4 linked regions of the Schizosaccharomyces pombe genome follow. Changing the gene in region 3 together with the main gene of any one other region gives a genetic interaction. Each region holds a gene or a part of one and is shown on either strand. Other genes may lie near its edges. The genes, in order: rga8, omh6, ymr1 and rud3.

What was found.
Region 1: mutations in ymr1 (region 3) and rga8 together harm fitness more than expected from each alone (negative genetic interaction), as found in Schizosaccharomyces pombe (one large-scale study listed by BioGRID).
Region 2: mutations in ymr1 (region 3) and omh6 together harm fitness more than expected from each alone (negative genetic interaction), as found in Schizosaccharomyces pombe (one large-scale study listed by BioGRID).
Region 4: mutations in ymr1 (region 3) and rud3 together harm fitness more than expected from each alone (negative genetic interaction), as found in Schizosaccharomyces pombe (one large-scale study listed by BioGRID).

Annotation. Positions count from the first base shown.
Region 1 is NC_003424.3:570,227-576,451, forward strand, and holds rga8 (putatiRho-type GTPase-activating protein Rga8), read right to left. Parts: upstream 4,198-6,225; 5' UTR 4,146-4,197; coding exon 4,043-4,145; intron 3,999-4,042; coding exon 1,768-3,998; 3' UTR 1,580-1,767; coding exon of another isoform or gene 659-1,579; 3' UTR 527-658; downstream 1-526. Other genes in the region: mrf1 (peptide chain release factor), read left to right, coding at 10-180, 323-421, 659-1,579; erg11 (sterol 14-demethylase), read right to left, coding at 4,909-6,225. UniProt on the Schizosaccharomyces pombe protein: Acts in signal transduction. Negatively regulates the pak1/shk1 control pathway.
Region 2 is NC_003424.3:3,391,212-3,396,098, reverse strand, and holds omh6 (alpha-1,2-mannosyltransferase Omh6), read left to right. Parts: upstream 1-1,854; 5' UTR 1,855-2,149; coding exon 2,150-2,616; exon of another isoform or gene 2,617-2,687; coding exon 2,688-2,974; intron 2,975-2,992; exon of another isoform or gene 2,993-3,070; coding exon 3,071-3,213; 3' UTR 3,214-3,408; coding exon of another isoform or gene 3,409-4,190; 3' UTR 4,191-4,349; downstream 4,350-4,887. Other genes in the region: pdi4 (protein disulfide isomerase), read left to right, coding at 1-414; tRNA-splicing endonuclease subunit Sen15, read right to left, coding at 3,409-3,840; SPOM_SPAC959.11 (uncharacterized protein), read left to right, coding at 3,825-4,190; U3 snoRNP-associated protein Utp7, read left to right, coding at 4,709-4,887. UniProt on the Schizosaccharomyces pombe protein: Probable mannosyltransferase involved in O-glycosylation of cell wall and secreted proteins.
Region 3 is NC_003424.3:2,481,908-2,486,735, reverse strand, and holds ymr1 (myotubularin family phosphatidylinositol-3-phosphatase), read left to right. Parts: upstream 1-1,819; 5' UTR 1,820-1,989; coding exon 1,990-2,013; intron 2,014-2,069; coding exon 2,070-2,645; intron 2,646-2,690; coding exon 2,691-3,770; 3' UTR 3,771-4,328; downstream 4,329-4,828. Other genes in the region: ltc2 (BAR and PH domain-containing protein), read left to right, coding at 1-1,100, 1,199-1,538; C-22 sterol desaturase Erg5, read left to right, coding at 4,626-4,758.
Region 4 is NC_003423.3:738,634-742,423, reverse strand, and holds rud3 (golgin protein Rud3), read right to left. Parts: upstream 2,162-3,790; 5' UTR 2,150-2,161; coding exon 944-2,149; 3' UTR 548-943; downstream 1-547. Other genes in the region: U4/U6 x U5 tri-snRNP complex subunit Prp31, read left to right, coding at 1-461; double-strand-specific ribonuclease Pac1, read left to right, coding at 3,629-3,790.

The sequences.
Region 1 (6,225 bases), 1.9 Mb from region 3:
TACAAGGTGATGCTTCTAACTAAAAAAGTTTTATGGTACTTTAGACATGGAATTGAATATCAAATTCGTAGCATTGCTTGCAAAAAAGGATACTCTGAGCATAACGTTTCAAGAGTACTTATTGAAAAAGCCCGATCGCTTTCTTCAGAGTATCTTCAATTCCATCAAGTAAATAATAAAGTAAGTGTCGGCAAACAAAGTGTGAAATCAGCCTGCTACTGTTCGAGATACAATAATAATGGTAATACAAGCATACCGGACATTAAGCTTTACTCATGAAAAATTAAAATCTGATATAAATGATCTAACTTATATCTTTTAGGATCAATCGGCAATGACAAACGATACAGATTTAGCAAAGCGAATCGCTAGGCTTCGACGCGTTCATAATGCATATTCGAAATTTAAAAGTTTGTCTGAGGTATGATATAAGACGAATTTGTCTCAAACTTGTAGTCAAAAGCTTTCCTTTTTTTTATTACTCTTCCTATTTATAGTAATCGATTTACAATGGTTTTTTTTTGCTAATGGGTCTATAACTTAAGACTTTTGCCAGGCATTTACTGTTTATCTAAGTAAAGCTATTTGATGAGCATGTTGAAATACTTAAATAACTAGTTTTTGAAAACCTTGATTTAAAAAAATTCTAACAATTTAGCAAATAAGCGATTTGAAACAAATGGAGGCCCAAGAGTCAGATGCAGAGGTTAAAATGATGGCAGTGACTGAAATAAACGAAATAAGTAATAAAATACCAAAAAGCATAGAAGATCTTGAAAACACATTACTTCCACAAGCTGATTCATATGCTCTTCCTGCATTAATCGAAATTCGTCCTGGTGTAGGAGGAACAGAGGCCGCAATATTTGCAAATGAACTAGTGGAAATGTATTTTCAGTATGCAAATTTTAAAGGATGGAATTGCAAATTTATATCAAAAAGTGCAGTCCAAGGACTTGAAGCGATAACGGAGGCCATCTTCTCTATTGAAGGTGAGGGAGCTTATGGTCATCTTATGTTGGAAGGAGGTGTTCATAGGGTTCAGAGGACTCCTGCTACCGAAACTAAAGGAAGAGTTCATACGAGTACTGCATCAGTAATCGTTTTACCTCAGGTGTCAAATGATGAATCCTCTTCTCTTTACGATTCATCTGAAGTTAAAATCGAAGTAATGAGATCTCGTGGAGCCGGTGGACAACACGTTAATAGAACAGAATCCGCCGTACGTTTAACACACATACCCACTGGTATCACTGTTAGCATGCAAGATTCTCGTTCTCAGCATCAAAACAAAGAAAAGGCATTTCTTGTACTGAATTCAAGATTGGCTGCCTTAAATGCCGCAAAAGAAAATGAGGCTGAAAGACTGAAACGTAAAAATCAAGTAACGTCTTCAGATCGTTCGGAAAAGCTACGAACTTATAACTTCAACCAAAATCGAGTAACTGATCATCGGATAGGTTTAAGCATGCACGATTTATCAACATTTATGCAAGGTGAAGAAAAATTTGACGAGTTTTTGGAAAAAATAAGAATATGGAATCGTGAACAGTTGCTATTACACTCTGAAATAGTATAGGAATGCTAATTTAGTCTAGTAAAATAGGAAGGTACAATAATATATGGTGGTCAAACTTCTATAGAGAAAAATGTTTATTAGGTATATGCAATGAATAATGAGAAAAGAATGTGCAACATGTCATGCAAATAAGATATCCATAACTGATCTTTAAAAAAGATCATAGGTTAACTCATAATAACATATTTTTAACTACCACTTAAACTGGAATCTCTTGAGGCGACTGCTTCGTTCACTATCTTTGCATCCTGATCAATAAAGATTGCGGCACTTTCATTGGAAGCAGAAGAATGGCTGAAATTACGTCTTGTCTTTCTAGTATTCAAGGCATACGACGATCTGATCAATGAGGTGGGCACATTTTCAAGAGTAAATTCAGATTCAGCGGGAATTTCTGAAGGTTGCAGCTCCTCAAACGAAGATCTTGGAGATTCGACAGCAGTATGAGATCGGACAGAAGAAATGGAGTCTGGTCTAGTTGGTGATACATCTGTACTCCGAGGAGTAGCAGAAGATTGATATAATACACGGTCAGAAACACGTTTGGATGAATTCAATTTTCTGAGTTCTTCAAAAATACTTGGTCCGTAAGTTAAAAGATCCTCCATGAACTTCGTTGGGTGCTTATCATGTTGAATACCCAAATTCCATGTTGCTGGACGGGAAATGCATAAAGATAAGGAGTTAGCTAAATTTATAGTAAAAGTTTCTTTATTTGGAGTAAGCGTAATCAAGCGATTTAGATGAGTAATGATGGCACTCAAAGTAGCAAGATTAACACGTCGAAGTTGGGATAAAAGATTTTGTAAAAGTCTCAACCTGTACGGCGTATCATTACTATGATTCATGTAAATTGAACGAATAAGCTCAAAAGCAGAAGAAGGAACGATGGAATCAGGGAGTTCAAGAAAGTATAGCTTCAAAACTCCTATCACAACGGAGGGAGTATACTGTGATAAAACCTCCTTTGTCACGGATGAAGAATGATTCAACGCTTCTCGAAGTTGATGTACAGAAGACAAGGGAGAATTAACAAGCCATATATTTTGACGAACTTCATCAGAGGCAAGCGTAGGATATAACAGATCTAAATAAGAAAGGATCGTACTAACGATTATGGGAACACGTTTCTTATCTCTATGAGACAAAAACTCAACGTCCACTCCAAAAATCTGATCTTTAATATCATTATAATAATCCTCATATATTTCGACACGAGGTAAAAATGGACCAGTAGCTGCAGACTCTAAAATATACCTAATGTCACTCTCAGGTTGAATTATTTCCTGATAAACAACAATCTGATCAGCCAGCAATTTCATGGAAGGCAAAAAGTTCGAAATAATTGTTGATAAATCCATAAAAAAATCTTTATAATAAAGAACGCGATCGGTTTCACATTTTTGAAGAAATTGCAAATGATCAGCAATAGTTTCTTCCACAAGTGTGCGGCATTTATCAAGATCAACGACTGATTCGCTGTAAATTTTATTTGCATCCAGAACTTCTCTTTTAAGACGTTGAGATTGAGTTTCTGAAGAGTAAAGCTTTCGATGACTTATATAATCAGAAAGATATTCACCAACTAATGGTAAAGCCTTGGCGTTTTCGACAAGACTATCTACACTATTCAGTCCTGCAAACTGGAAAGCCTTGTCTTTCCACTGATAATGGAAGTTGGTACTATTCACAAAACTACCTCCAACGCCCATATGACGCAAAAATCCTTGAGCTATCAAATCTTGTCCAAATGCCTCGGCTGCAACTAAAGTTGGAACAGGAAGATTTTCCTGAAGCCAAGAAACAATAATATTTCCTGAACATGTATTAGGGTAAGTACCTAAGATAGGGACGCGATAATCCTGTAAGGGTATTTCTTGTAATACTTGAGCCAAAACCTCTTTTAACTCCTCAGGCCTAAACTCCATAAAACCAAGTTGAATCAGATCATCATCATTTTCCAACAATGATTGCTGCTGTGGACTAGAAACTGTTGTTAAGTCAGTAATAGCCTCACTAGTAGTTTCATTGGACTCCTTTGATTCTTCTTCATAATCTTCAAGGTTTCTACATTTGTTGTAGTAAGCGCTTTTTGTTTTTTTAAGTGTATAGTATTTCTTTTCATAACTCTTTATTTGATTGGTAAGAACTTGTTGGCTGGTTTGTAACTTCTGAGAATGATCAATAGACATTTTAGAGAAAGGAGCAATAATTAGCGTTTCTAAGTCCTTGGCAATACGAATATGTTGCTTTCCTTGATTAGCAATCTCGGAGCGCAACCCTTCAAAAGCCTTGTTAGAAGTAGCACCGTCTTCTGTATTCTCTGGCTTTTTCCCTTTTAGACATTCTTTCGTTATTTCTTGAAGCTTTTCACCAAATTCCTCATTCGCTTCTTTATATAACTTCAACAAGTTTTTTACTATTCGTTGTTAGAGGAAGTCCTATATTAATTTATTTAAATACCTTGCTCATTCTCTTCAACTCCATTATCCAGGCAATCGAAAAGTTTTTTCACACCAGTCGCGTAGTCTTTACTCCAAAAACCATTTGAAAAGCTCGATATCATTTCAATTCGAGACTGAAACTGTCACAACCTGTCAAGAAATATAGAGGTGGTTGACATGTCTACGCCCTTTATTACTCAACTTAAGTAAATAGCGAATTGCTACGCAGAAAAGTTTTACCCATCAAGGATGCCAAAAGTATCCAGTAAATAAGACAACAGATACGTTACTTGACACACATAAGATAGCATACCACTAATCCTTTATAAAATGTAAACTTCATTCAGTTGAATAGCAGCCTACGCTTTTACCCACTTTGTATTATTAATGCTATGGTTGGATCGATGGTACAATTAAAAACTACAAAATTTTAATTAATAGCTTACTGAGAAACCTTGCGTTTGCACGATGAGGTTTTGAAAAGAGAGAGTAGCGTACTTTATTGTTATAATGCCTACATGAAAACGAAAGAGAGCGTCCCGACGTTATTAAAACTATAATATCGTAAAAATGTATCACTAATGATGACAGGGTAGTTTTCATATCGATTTAGTGCGAGGATAAGGAAGTTTGAAATTGCATAATACATTCTTTTGACATTTGAAATGCTACCAAATAGTCATTTAAAACGCTAAAATATTTACAATTTCATAAAACAATAAAGCACTTAAAATTTAAAATGTCTAGCAAATTTCATGGTTATTCGTTACTCGTCAGATAAAACAAAAACGTTTAACACGGGCATGAAAAGAGAAAGGCGGAACCAAAGTTAGAAACCAATACCATAAGCGTATTGCAAATGCATTCAAATTAGGGGAAATTCCCTTAATTACGACGCTTCCAAGCAATTTTAACAGGACCCAAGGGAAGAGCAACCATACTGGAATAGTCAACGTTGGGAACTTTTCCAATAAGAGTCCAGGTGTAATCGTGTACAAACTTGCTAATAATAGTGCTCAAATGCATGTAGGCAAATTGCTCACCAATGCAACGATGACGACCAGCTCCAAAGGGTAGGTATGGAGAAGCAGCACCCTTTGTAACGAGACCATAACCATAATCAATTTGCTCAGCATTTTCGTCTTCATTGACGCGGTCATTCCAGCGCTTGGGGTCAAAGTCAGTAGCATGAGTGAAGTATTCCTCTTCAGTAGCAGTTAAACCGGGAGCAGCAAGAAGATAGTTGTTGGCAGGGATAACAATCTTTGAACCAGGGACGGGTAAGTCACGTTTGACTTTACGCATATGACTGTGGATAGGGGGATGGAGTCTAAGAGTTTCTTGAATAACATAGTTGAGAAGAGGCATGTCCTTATATTGGTCAAACTTCAATTCCAAGTTTTCACCTACAACACGCTTCTGCTCTTCCCACAACATTTCAATGATTTCAGGTTTGCTACCCAAAAGAGCAAGAACCCAAACGATAGTGGCAGCAGAGGTGTGTTGACCAGCCATCAAAAGTGCAATCATCATACCAGCAATTTCATGTTCCTTCAAAGGACGGCCATCTCTATACTTGCAGCTCATCAAAGTCCAAATCATATCAGTACCAGGATTTTCAGTGCTAGAGCGACGATCTTTAATAATTTTAAGATAAGTTTTTTGCATAATTTTGTGGGCTCTATCACGGCGTCTGTTTCTAGGGAGAGGTAACCAAGGGAAAACAAAGTTAACAGGGCTAAATCCTTGATCAAGGTCATGGTACAAGTCAGCGAAACCAGCGTCAAAGCCCTTGCGAACCTCAGCACCTTGTAAAGTACGAGAAGCAGTGTAAATAGTCATGACAGGCATGGTCTTCAGCAAATCAGCAACGCCTTCCTTACCAGGTCCGAAGTCAGGAGAAGTGCTGAGAAAAGCATCCATTTCGTTAAGAATGAGGGGGACATAAGAGCGGAATTGAGAGAAGCCAAGACCAGATTTGATAAACTTCTTGTGCTCCATAAAAACATGGTTGGGAATATCGTAAACGACATCTTTACCGAATACAGGGGTAGTTAAATGAGAGTAAGCTTCTTCAGCATTCAAATCAGCTAATTTACCGTTAAAGAGGAAATCATTACCTTGGACACCAAGGAAAGCGGTCATTTTACGACCCATGCAAACAAAGGTGAAAACATCACCATATTTGGCACGACACTCGCG
Region 2 (4,887 bases), 910 kb from region 3:
TTATGGTTGGATTGGATTGTGGAAAATTTGGACCATACTGTTTATGTAGATTCTATCACACCACCAGTGTTTGTGATAGATCACTCGAAAGGCGTAATCTATGTGAGTGACAGAAACGGCAACTCACTTACGTTAGAAGAAGATTCTCTATTTTCCACATTAAGGATTATATTAGAGCACCCTAACTCATCTCGTCTTCAAAAACTGCGTGCACCGGGCCTATGTCCAAACGGTAGCCCCAATTACAGGAATAGATACAAACTTATAGTTTTTAATTTGCTCATTGCTTTACTAATATTGAGCATCCTGACAATTATTTCAGCTAGCAGGCTTTCCCGTCGGCGTCGACAACTGCTGAACAAGCAACCAGTTTTTGGTTTTTATCATTCGCTTGTAATTGCCAAATCAGACTGAAATGTTGACAATTCAACGACCTAGTAAACGATGAAAAGGAGCGAAAGGTTTTTTTTATATACTCTCTTAGGGTAGCATTTCTAAATCATTTATTGCTAATACACTTGTGATGTTGCTACAAACAGCCCACAAAACTGATTGTTAAAAACTTTGTAGTCCATTTAATTTGACAAGGACTTATACACGAAAACAAAGTACCTCAAAATATGACGAGAATATTATCATTAAAAATTCAGTTTAAGTATACAAAATACCATACTGGCAACCTACCTCAAACGGTCAAGCTGTACAAACGAAAACTACATCGACAGGTCAGCCTGTTTCTCATCAAAACATCACAACGCCCATTTTTATTTGTTCATTAACAGCGAATTGGAAGTTTAAAAAATTCAGTTTTAAATGACAAAGTAAAATTGTAATAAAATAATTAATCGTATTCATACACATGATTAAACTATCATAAAAGAAGAACTACCCAAATGAAAAATGTCAACTGTATGGTTTTACCCAACTGCAAGGATCCAGAGATCATGTAGCGAAAGATTTAGGAATATACAGTTGTCAGAGGATCAACCAATTCCTCTCCAAAGGAGAAGGATCAGGATCACTCCAATCGTTTTAGAATCTGTTGGCTAGGCTACGCAGCATCCTTTAGTCAATTTTCATGGCAAGACGCCAACTCTCAACCTGCAGTCGAAACTGCAAGGACAATCGCCGCCCTGTCTGTACTCTTGTCAACCTCTACACGCCAACCATGTTACACGCAAGATTCTCGAAAGAATCTGAACAATGTAACTTCAGATTCATGATAGGTTATAACGAAGTGCAAACGAGACTTTATATAGTTTGTTGAAAATTACAACCCTAACCCTAGTGACTGTTTTACCCTTAGTAGTCTAGGAATTTTGGTGTTTCCAGAAAGCAAAAAAAAAGGCTCGTTAAAATAAGATTGTGCATTATGAACAACCACAGTATATAATTTGATCGAAAGTAGTGAATTAGTTTGCAGATATTGGGAAAATGTCTTAAGATACATATGCCACTTGGGTTTATGAAATATTATTTTATAACATTTTACTGAGTTTGTATTCTAGAACAGCTGAAGCTTTCCTATACTTAAACTTATTGCTTTTGTTTACATTCATCAGCAACAATGAATTGTTTAATAGACATTAAAAACCATTATAAAAGACGAATGCAAATTTTATAATTCCTTTGATAGAACTTAAATATTCCAACAGTAATAACAGCTCGACATAGCGACTATCAGTACGCTTATGCAAATGTCATTTATAAGATTATGCTCGTTAGCAGATTCTTTCAGTGATCTACCCATCAAACATTGTATACAAAAATTGATTTGCTAAAAATAAATATTTATACTCAAAGAGCTCTCTTTTCTAAGGTCAAATCTCTAGCAGGGTATTAACATTTGCCCTTAACCATTGTCTTAGGCAATTTCAGTTAAATTCCTTCAAATCCACTTTCTATGCGTTACTTTTGGAGTCATACGTTAGTTGAACTAGTTACTTCTCATAACAGGGAAAGTTCTGCTCGTGTTTAAGCTTCATTATGTTTTACGAACTTTTACTTTCCATACTACCAATTGTATTTACCTGGTTGAATGGATTCTCTGTAAATGAACCCAACAATGTATATGTGATTCTTAATGAACCTCAAAGCTCCAATTTGAGTGCTTCTTTTCTGATGTTTACCGCGTACGGTGCCATTTGAGATGTACTTTCTAATTCTGTTTTCTAGTAATGCTGAACTTGGGGAAGTGTTGCGCACGATGCGTAGCGTAGAGGATAGATTTAATAAGAGGTTTCATTATCCTTGGACGTTTTACGGCATGGATGAGTTTACGGAATACTTTATGAGTACGACAAGCACGATTGCGTCTGGTCATTGTGAATACGGTACGAAGGGAATAACTTATACCAATCATTTACAATTTATTCTAACTATCTCTTACTTAGTGCATTGGGATCTTTCTCAAGTAAAACCCCTAGTTGAAAACAATCGACTTTATCAACAACGAGCAGATGCACTTGCTCAAGAGAATCTATCTTACGTATACTCTCCTTTGTTTCACAGTTTTCAAGATTGGGTAGTTCGATCTTTATTATATCATCCTCAATTGGAATACGATTATGTTTGGAGAATAGAACCCGGGCTCAAATTGGTTTGTGAAGAAAAAAAGTAAGAAACTCGGTAAAACTTGTTTATTTCGTTCTTCTTTTTCAGGAAACCTAACTAATATTTTTGTTCAGAGATATATTTTCTACTTTCAAAGACAGCGACATTGTATTTACAAACCACGTCTGTGAACGTAAACACTCTGGTATATATGCTATGGAAGAGGCAATTGAAGAATACAAAATTTTAAACACTCAAGGAGATTTCAGCAATATCTGGGTTTATAGTAACAACTACACCTATTGTAAATACTGGCCTTTTAATGAAATTTTATCTCTAAAGCAAATTCGGCATAATCAGACCTACACCAACCTAATTAATTACTTGCTTGGTTCAGGAGGAACATATTATCATCGCTGGAGTAAGTAAATTGCTTCTTCAATTTTGGAAATGACTTTATTTAACCTGTTTCTAATATAAATGCTTCACGTTGTACTTTTTGCTGACATTTATTTAGCCGAGTCTGATATCCTTTCAGCAGCATTTGGTGTTTTAAGAGCGCGTGCTAATCATATGGAATCAGTGGGATTTTTCTTAAACGATGATGTTCATTATTGCCCAGAAACTATTCCATACACAGGAAGATGTGCATGTTTGTGATATTAATTGATGAATGAGCTTTACAGAAAATTTTTGTTCATACGAATTTGTTTTATGAAAGTTATTGTAATATGTGCATTTTCATTTACAAACGTTGAGACACTTGAAGTGAAAAATTAATCTGGTAGTGGTAAAATTATAGCGTTGTCTTTCCGTTTTTCAATCCTAATCAATAAATATGTATATATCATGTGTTTATTCTTCATCATTTTGCCTTGGTTTTATAAGTCCATCGGTGATCTTGTAATATACTATCGTTGAGTCAGAACACATGATTCCCAGGTATAGGAAAAACTCATCTCCAGAAAGACCTCGAGCATCCTTTACAAGTGGAAGGCTCAGTTTCTTCATAGAATCGAAAACAGAGGACAGAAACTCGATCGAAATTGTCTCTTGGAGGTAAAGCGGCAGAACATATTGCAATTTGTCTTTGAGCTGTCCATTTACGGGAATCCCTGAGAGTAAAGGCCTTTTTGTTTTTAAGTCAATATCAAGAACATGTACCTTTAATTCACACCAACGTTGACCGAGCCTTAAGTCGGTTTCCACTGCTCTCAGTATTCCATAGTATGGATTTTGCTTTTGCTCTTCTACAGCATCGTTAGGGAGAAATGTATTATGTTGCATGTGTATTTGTTTATAATAAATATATCTTTACTTTTGAGAAGGAAAATTTTGTTGAAAAAATGAATTATCGCCTCCGTGATAAAACTTTTAACTTCAACCAAATGGCACAGAAAAGGAACAAGCAGTCAAAAAAGCCTAAACAGACTTCAAAAGGAGTTAAGAAATCCTCAAAACAAAACAAAAACTCCTCTAAAAACAACAAATACCAACAAAACGTCCTTTTACAGAGTATTGATGATTACAACACTACGCAGAGCGTACTAAGAAGTGCTCATAATAGCGGTTCGAAGATGAGCGATATATCCAATTCGATCCAGCTTCTTTCCATGACCAAAAAGCAGGAGAATTAATTCCTGAGCTATTTTCGTTTCATGGTTCATTTCGCAGTTTTGGCATTGGCCATTGTCTGAACTTATAATGTTTTTACTGGGTTTCGGGTTTACTTTTAAAATTTTCTTGTTTTTATTTTGCATACTTAATTTTTATGAAATTTTATTTTATTATACTTGTATTATTTGTAAATAATTGTGGTTTGTATCTAATTGTGTTAGTAGTAGTTTCTGATTTTTTACAATAAGAACGCACAAATCCTATTCCTAGAACTACATTCCACCTGCCCTCAACCTAAACCTACTGTTGGGTCATAGAATCGAAGTCGAACGTAGTGTTTGAATTTTTTAACTATCACTTCGTTTACATAATACATTTGTGTAAAAATTGAAGGGTTTCTAACTTTTTGACTAAGGGAGATACCTAAATTTTGGAAAGAATTGTTTATTAGAAAACTGCTTCATTTTTTTTGTATAATCAGGCCTAAAAAGAAAAAAAAATCTTTTTTCCTCACTAATATCTTTACTTAGTTAGCATTATGTCTGCTCAAAAGTTGAATTTGGAGGATGTTAATGCTTCTACAAAAAAATATTCTAGAGGGCGCAAGCTGAATCCAAAGAAAATCAAGGATAAAAAGCTTCGAAGCAATATTCAGAAAATCGAGGAGAGAATTGAGAATGTTGAGTCTTCCTTGGCGAAAACCGAAATCTTACATGA
Region 3 (4,828 bases):
AGTAGAGCGCTAACTAATTTGATCAATAAGAATGAGAGTAATGATTCATTTATGGAAGACCTCAGGGACTTCAAGATTGCTATGCTTCCGAAAGAGACAGTCCAAGTTGTTCGTTCTCATCATCTGGACGATATTGTATTTGATCGAGTGTACAATGTTTCTACTAAGGCATTGTTTCATATTGTTTTTGGTGATAGAAGCACCGTGTTGTCTGGTGCTTACAATCTTCATGGAGTAGATGATGTCGAATTTTTACCATGGGGAAAAGATCCAAAAACCAATTTGAGTCGTCGATACATCAATTATAAGGTTTATAATTACGACCAAGAAGGTCAATGTCAATCTTACCACTATGAGGATTGCCAAATAATGGACGTCCGCAATGATTATCATTTATACATTATGACATGGCTTCATCACTCTTGGACTTTGCCTTATAGAGATTACTTTAAAATCGTGACAAAAACTTCTATATCTCACCTTAGAAGGGAGAAGTCTAGATTGCTCATATCTGTAGGCCTTGAATGGATCGTTAAACCTTTTGCTATATCAAAGGTTATTGAGGCTGAATGTAGAAAACTGGCTATCAAGTATATAAAAACGGAAGTCAACTTTTTGGAAAAGGCAACTAGAAGAGCAAGAAATCAGCCGCTTATTGCGATAATAAATCAATATGGAAGAGTAGGCGACTACAATGAATCGATGGTTTATCGAAGAAAAATACCTTTTAACTGTGAATTGAAAAACCTGTCAATTATCGATATTATTCGCAATAATTGGTGGCTTTTTCTTCAAGGATTGGCAATTGATCTACTAAAGCTGCCGTGGGCTGTCTTCCACATTTTCCTAAGATATTTATTTTCTCACTCATTTTTGGTTATTATTTTTGCTTGTTCGGTTATCTTGAACCTTTCTCTCATGTTTTGTTTTGGAGCTAAGTACTGGGATGAGCGACAGAATAACAAATTTGTCGGGCAAGTTTTCGATGAGTTTAAAAATATTGAAACTTCTGCTCGTTATGTTTATATGAAGGACGTTGATGATTTATTAGTCGGACTTCCTACTTATTTGCACCCCAACGTCACTTATCCAAGTGAATGGTAAGTTTGTTAGTAGTACCATGTAATTATAAATGTTGATTACATGTACATTATATTATCTTTTTTTTGTTATTATTATTATTCTAATCTTTTTACAGTTTACAATCATTTGCTTTAAAAAGTTCTCCTCAAAAAAGTCACTGGTTACGAAAACGGAATTATATTGCAGAAAAAAGAAAAAAAATATTGGAAAATTTGGCGTCTCTAAACTATTACGAATATATAATTCACGAGGATGCCGTATATCAATACATTCAACAAGAGCTGTTGGGATGTGACAAAGCAAGGGAATTTGATTTATACCCACCCTCGATGCAAAGGTATTGCGATTCTTGCACGCAAGATTGGAGGAACCGCACTTTGTTTTTCGGCAAAGACACTCTAGCTACAAGATTATTGACACTCGAGACTGTGGAAAACGCAGACTACGCTGCATAATTGTTAATGAAACTGTAACTTAATTATTTTTATTGTTATTTTATTATCTTTTTTATATTTAGGGTTTTATGAGTTATTTGATCAAGCACTCGTTTTTTTTTGTCAGATACACAAATTAATAAAGTTGAATTTATTAAACATATATATACCAAAGATAAGTGTAACTCCTCTACATCTTTCAGAATCGTCCTTTCTATTGTTTAATAAACAAGGTAATGATATGTCAAGTTGTAGCCTTGATAACCGCAATGATTACAGCCATGCACTTGGCAGCATTAATCGACAGCACCACCGTAAATAGTTTAAAACCTTCATCTATCTAAGTAGAACGCAATTACATTCTGCGCTAAACACATATTTAATTCTTTGTACTCATATTTTGTCACAGTACTTGATAGTACGAGGGTTGCTTCATTTTATTCAATTGCTTATAAAAAGAAGTTTCCGTGTGATGGAAAACATCAAAGTTGCAAAAGTAAGCATAATGCGATTAGATCTAAAACTTAATTTTATCAAAATATTAACAAATAGGTCGGAAATGTGAAGTTTGTGAACAAAGGAAACGAATTGAACGGAACATTGCATTTGACAGCGTATCATTCTATTTTTTCAATCTCGGAAAATGGGAAGGAAATTTGGACGGCATATTCCATGATAAATAATGTAAAGCTTTGCTCTAACGAAAAATCATTTTGTATACGTATACAATGCCGAGACTTTATGTTCTTTTGTTGGAGGTTTCAAAGCACGGAGGATGCGATGGACGTATACGACACTTTACAGGAATTGATGTCTATTAATTCAATAAATATGCTATACGCATTTTACTATATGCCCTCCGGAGATGAAGAGAAACTGCCATCTTCTTGGAAATCATTTCTACTTGAAAATGAATATAGGCGCATGGGAGTAGGTGATTCCACCCAAGCTGATGGTGCTGGCGGAAATTGGAGGATAACTAAAATTAACGAAAATTACTCTGAGTGCCATTCTTATCCGCAAGCTCTAGCCGTTCCCGCTAGCATTTCTGACAGTGTTATATATTATGGATGCAAATATAGATCTAAAAATCGATTTCCTACCCTTACGTATCTCCATAAAAATTCTGTAAGTTTTACTAACTTTGAGAGGCTTTAATACTAATTTATTTAGTTTTCAATTACGCGGGCCTCTCAACCCCTTGTGGGTATTCGTCAAAATCGAAGTGCACAGGATGAAAAACTTGTTGAAGCTATATTCGCAACATCAATCATTCCTGGAAAAGAAAATCTTATAGTTGATGCGAGGCCTTCTACTAATGCGATGGCTAACATTGCCGTAGGCGCTGGAAGCGAAAACATGGATCACTACCGTTTTGCAAAGAAGATATATCTTGGAATTGATAACATACACGTCATGAGGGATTCTTTAAATAAAATTGTGAATGCTCTTAAAAATACAGATATTAGTGCGGCACCTCCATTGATAGAACTCTTAAACAGATCAAGTTGGCTTAAGCACTTGGCTAACATTTTACAAGGAGCGGTTCTTATTGTTAAAACAGTTCATTTTAGGCATGCCCATGTACTTGTACATTGCTCAGATGGATGGGACAGAACTTCCCAGTTATGTGCTCTACCTCAATTGTGTTTGGATCCTTACTATAGAACAATTGAGGGATTTTTTGCTCTCGTCGAAAAGGATTGGCTTTCCTTCGGGCATAGGTTTGCAGAAAGATGTTGTCATTTACCTGGTAAACGTATTTTTACAATCGACAGCTCATACTCAGAAGAACCACCCCAATCTTCACCAAGTTCGACTTTACAATACACTTTTTCAACAGTACGCTCTGCTTTAAGTGGCTTCTCAATTGACCATTCCGAAAAAATGATGTCTCCGGTCTTTCATCAGTTTTTAGATTGCGTCTGGCAAATTATGGATCAATTTCCTAATTGTTTCGAGTTTAACGAGAGATTTTTACGCCGTCTACTTTACCATCTTTACTCTTGCCAATACGGTTCGTTCCTATACAACTCTGAACGGGAACGAGCTCAAGCATCCGTCAGCACTCATACTCGTTGTATCTGGGACTATTTCCTTTCTCGGAAGGATGAATTCAAGAATCCTAACTATGTACCTTATGATGATGTTATAATGCCTGATCCTTCATCGCTGAGATGGTGGTCAGCTTCTTTTGCTCAACCTGATGAAAACATGAATATCCCATCACCCTCCGAATCTCCGTCTTTATGAAACATTTACTTGAAAATCTTCATTGGACATTTTCCTTCCATTTTTGTCTTCATTGGAAGTTCTTTATTAATTCCTTTTTATGCTCATTTTAGCGCAATTTAGATTGATTGCATCTCTTTCTTTCTCTCTTTTTAGCCTCTCTTTTGCCTAATTCAACTTTTCATCATCGCATGTTGACTCCGATAATCTATCTACATGGACTTTTGCGAGAGACTATGAACGCATGAAGAGGACGACAGAGTCGTTTAATTTACTGATACATATTTTGAAAGTTTACGTCCCAAATCTTCCATTTATTTTGGTGATCCATGCTAAAATTTTTTTATCCCCTTTTATACGATTATCGCTTGGACTACGAATCCCGTTCCTATGATACTTTTATTTTATCAATTCTTCCAATGTTCTTCTACTCTACTCGTATAACGGACCATTCACTGCATTCTCATGCAATCACTTAACAAAGTTTGGTGTAGATATGCTAAGCGATGCTTATATATAGTATGTATGATTGCACATCTCATGATTGGTAGTTTAACAGCTGATCTTAAATGACTGCCCAGTAACGAGTTTTTTCAATATAATAGTGAGTGTTAGTAAGCCTTTCTAATTACTGCAGTAAGAAAGCTTTTGAAATTATAGTATTAGTTTTCATAACTTTAAATTTTTCTTTTCTTTTTTTTTTACTTTATTGTAAGATTCACATCGTACCAGATTTATCTATCTCATTTCGGAGCGTATAATTGCGTGTCGGTAATTTTCTATATAAGACCGATAGCCCGACAAGGACTTTTCCTTCACCAATACCCAACGAGTTGGATTTGTTGATTCATTCATCGTGCTCCTTCCTTTAAAACGATGGAGATGAATCAAACTGAGACTTTGATTCCTGCAGCCCGAAACGTTATTCGGGTGCTGGGATACGAAATTGAATATTCGAAATGGACAATTTGCTTCGCCCTTTTGGCTGTCTGCATTGCTTATGATCAAAGTATGTTAAAGATTGAGAATTATTTTTTTGTATCAACTGCTGCATAAATACCACGATGAAAAGCATCATT
Region 4 (3,790 bases), on a different chromosome or scaffold from region 3:
CGCTACCCGTTCCTGACGATAGGCCAAAACGTCGTCGTGGAGGAAGAAGAATTCGCAAGATGAAAGAGCAATATGCCGTAACGGAATTGCGGAGATTACAGAATCGCGTCGCCTTTGGTAAGGAGGAGGCGGAAGTCTTTAATTTTGACGAAACGGAAGGTCTTGGTATGCTTGGTCAAGAAGGTGAAGGAAAAATTCGTGCAGTGTCAATTGATTCTCGAACTAAATTACGGTTACCAAAAGCGCGGAAGGCCCAACTACAATCAATGGCACAGAAGAATCCCCTTGCTGCAAGCGGTTTACAAAGTTCATTATCCTTCACACCTATTCAAGGCATTGAACTAGTGAACCCCTTACTTCAACGACAACAAAAAGTAGAAGAGGCCAACAAATGGTTTCGTGATGGTGTTTTTACACAGATAAAGAAGGATTCTAATGAGCCGAAAAATAAATTTTCATAATAATGTCTTCATAATGATTAGTTACTTTGCATATAGCTATGTTGCTTTTGCATACTAGTAATACAGACCATAACTATGACCTGAGTGATTAAAATAAAATGATATTTTTAAAATTCTTCGAAAAAACTGATATTAACAAACAATTTTGAAAATTAAGAATATTGACTAATAGATGAAATTGCAACAAGCGCTTTTGCCATAAAGCTAGGCATAGCAGGAGAAGGCAAAATATCAAAATGAACGTATGAAACTATTACTTCAAGAATGATATAGTCAACCTTCAAAATGTGTGAAAAGAGAGTAAAAAAATACTAAAACCTTGTACGCGCGGCAAAAGGTAACCCCTAATTAAGTTGTGAAGTAAGAAAAAAAAAAGCGATACATAAAAAGAGCGAAAGATATTATTATTTACAGAAAAAAGAAAAATCTTTCATACCATTGCTCAATTGAAACGTAAAATTATCGGTTAGTGTGGAAGAAAATTATGAGTCATGGAAAGAACGTCTTTTGGAAAAGGAATGATCGGAGAATAGAGAGTTAGAGGACGCACTGTGAGGAATACTCCAATTATTTACAGAGGAACCAGGACGTTGAAGTCCCGTTTGTTCCCTTTGCGTATCGTTCCAATCTAACACGGAAGAAATTAATTGCAATATTTCGAAACGTTTAGTGTCAGCGCGAGGAAGCGTCAAAAAGGAGACAAACAAATTAGAAATAAGTTGTTTGTCAATTTTTTCTGCATTATTTCCATCTTTAAGCATGCAGAGAGCCTTTGTAAGATGTTCATTCAAAACAACGGCCTCGTGCTGCAGTTTACCAATAAGTAGGGTTTTTTCTTTCACCTCGTGCTCCAAATCAGAGACCCTTGAAAGCCTTTTCTGTGTAGCATCTAACTCATTTTGCAAATCTTCGTACTCTTTTGATTTAGAAGCGAATTTCTCAGTCACGTCGTCCATGGCCTTCTGCCAATTTCTGGTAAGTTCACCGAGGTTTTCAGTATGGGAAGCTTTGGTGGATTCTAATTCAATTTCTAGTTGATGCTGATTTGTCAAATGACGTTGAATTTCAACTTCATACTGCTCTTGTCTTTCAGTTTCTCTAGCTAGCTGCTCTTCACAATCTGCCAATCGAACGGCCAATGATTCTTGCATCTCATGTTCATCTCTGGCTCTTCTTTCCCATTGTTTTGATTGAGTCGATAACAATTGATTTTCTTCAACAAGCGAAGCATTTTGCTGTCTCAAATCTGTTATATCTTGCGTTAAGCTTTCTACTTGTGCGGTCAAGGTTACGGTTTCTTCATTGCTCAACTTAAGTGCTTCCTCTGCATCGCCCAAAGACTTTTCGAGCTCTTGAATTCGTTTTCGATTTTGAGCTAACTCTTGAGAATCCTTCTTAAGCCTTTCTCCCAACGTTGACTTAATTCCCGAGACCTTCCCGAGTAAATTAGAGTGTTGCTGCTTCAATGAGTTATAAGAATTCTTTAATGTTTGATAAGCTTCCTCCTTCTCCGCCAATTTCTTGAAAGATTCTGAACATTCTAAATGTTCATCGTTTTCTTTCAAAACTCCGCCTTTTTCATTCAATTTGAGCTCATTTTTTTCATCTTCTAAGTTCAAACGACTTAAATCCTCTTGTAAATTCTCATTTTCCACCAATTTTGTTTCATTTCCTGCATTTTCTGCCATTCCAGAAATTATGGGAAATTGAATTAGTGAGCTCTAGAGTGGCCCTAAAACATCCATCTTTTCGTAAACATTTCCATAAACCTCGATAATATTCCTTTAACTTGGTTTACGAAATACTAAACCTTTTGCTTTAAAATTTGTTACTACAATAAACAGTAGCAACGTATTCAACTTTAACTGTAAGCTACGCAGTTTGGTATCTGATTTAAGGATACGTAGAACTGCGGTGAGTTTTCCTTATGGTCTATTTATATTACAATACACAGGTTGTATAAGTAGCAACTGAGTATAGGTATTGTATTAACTGGGTTATAATGTTACCTATCACTAATATAGCTCATAACTGAACTGAGGAACGAGGTTCAGTTGTAACGCTATTTATAATATTTCTAAATAGTTGTTATTAACGGGTATCTATGTATATAGACGGATAGTTACCCGTGATTATCAATAAACGGATCTTAGCTAGTATTCCAACATATGACATATAGTGATACGCAACGTAGTGTATCATAGCGTAGTGTAGTATTGCTGACATTAACATACTTTGTTGACCGTTGTGCTGCGGTACGCCCCTATTCTTTCTCTGCTCATGTTAACCAACGAACGTGGTGAAATAAACCGCTAAGTTGGAAAAAGAGTGTTTCTTTCTTCCTTCTCCTTTCTCGTCCCTCACTGCCCAACATAAACAAACTCCCACACATATGAGGTTGAACGAGTCTGCATATTCTTTTTAAAGAAAAGAGTTGTTTTCTTATTCATATTGACGGTTTGGTAGTTCCTACGAACTTGCATTTCAGATTGTTTATTTTTCATTCGGGTTTTTGCAAAGTAAGTAGCGTTGTCTTGCATCTACGGTGATAGAGCTTTCTTTCAAATAAGGAGGATTGCTGGTCCTTGGTTTGGTCAACATACGGTTTTTAATCACATTTCGATTTTACGCTGCATTTTCGATTTGCTTCAGATATCATTAATTGGTAGATTTGAAGATTATAACATTGAAAAAGACTTTTTTCACTGTAAAAAATATTTATTTTTTTATATTCAGCTATTCGAAGAACATTTTTTTTGCATTTTTTTCTTAGCTGGGTAGGTGTTCTTCACATTGGAGAGCTGTTTTTGGTTGATTGTTTTGTTACAAGATTTTTTGCATTTGTATATTACACGGAGCTTTTCGTGCTGATCATTTTTTACTTCTTGATTGTTCTTTACTGTTTGTGGTATATTTCTAAAGAAAACACAAAGTAAAGTAATTTTGGGTAAATAACTTTTTCGTTGTGGCCCTTAGAACAGTATCCTGGTACTGCACATTTCTTCTACTGACGATATTTTTACCGGAACTCTGTTCCGTACTTAATTCTCGGCCATTTTTGACACCGATTTTTTAAGTAGATCCCAATACAGCATTCTTGGATACTTCTGTCTCTTTTAGCACCGTTTTCCTTCTCACAATCTACTTTATATTTCTACCATTTTCCTATGGGACGGTTTAAGAGGCATCATGAAGGGGACTCAGATTCCTCCTCATCCGCTTCCGACTCTTTATCAAGAGGAAGAAGGTCTCTTGGTCACAAGCGAAGTAGCCACATAAAAAATCGGCAGTATTATATTTTGGAAAAAAAAATTCGTAAACTCATGTTT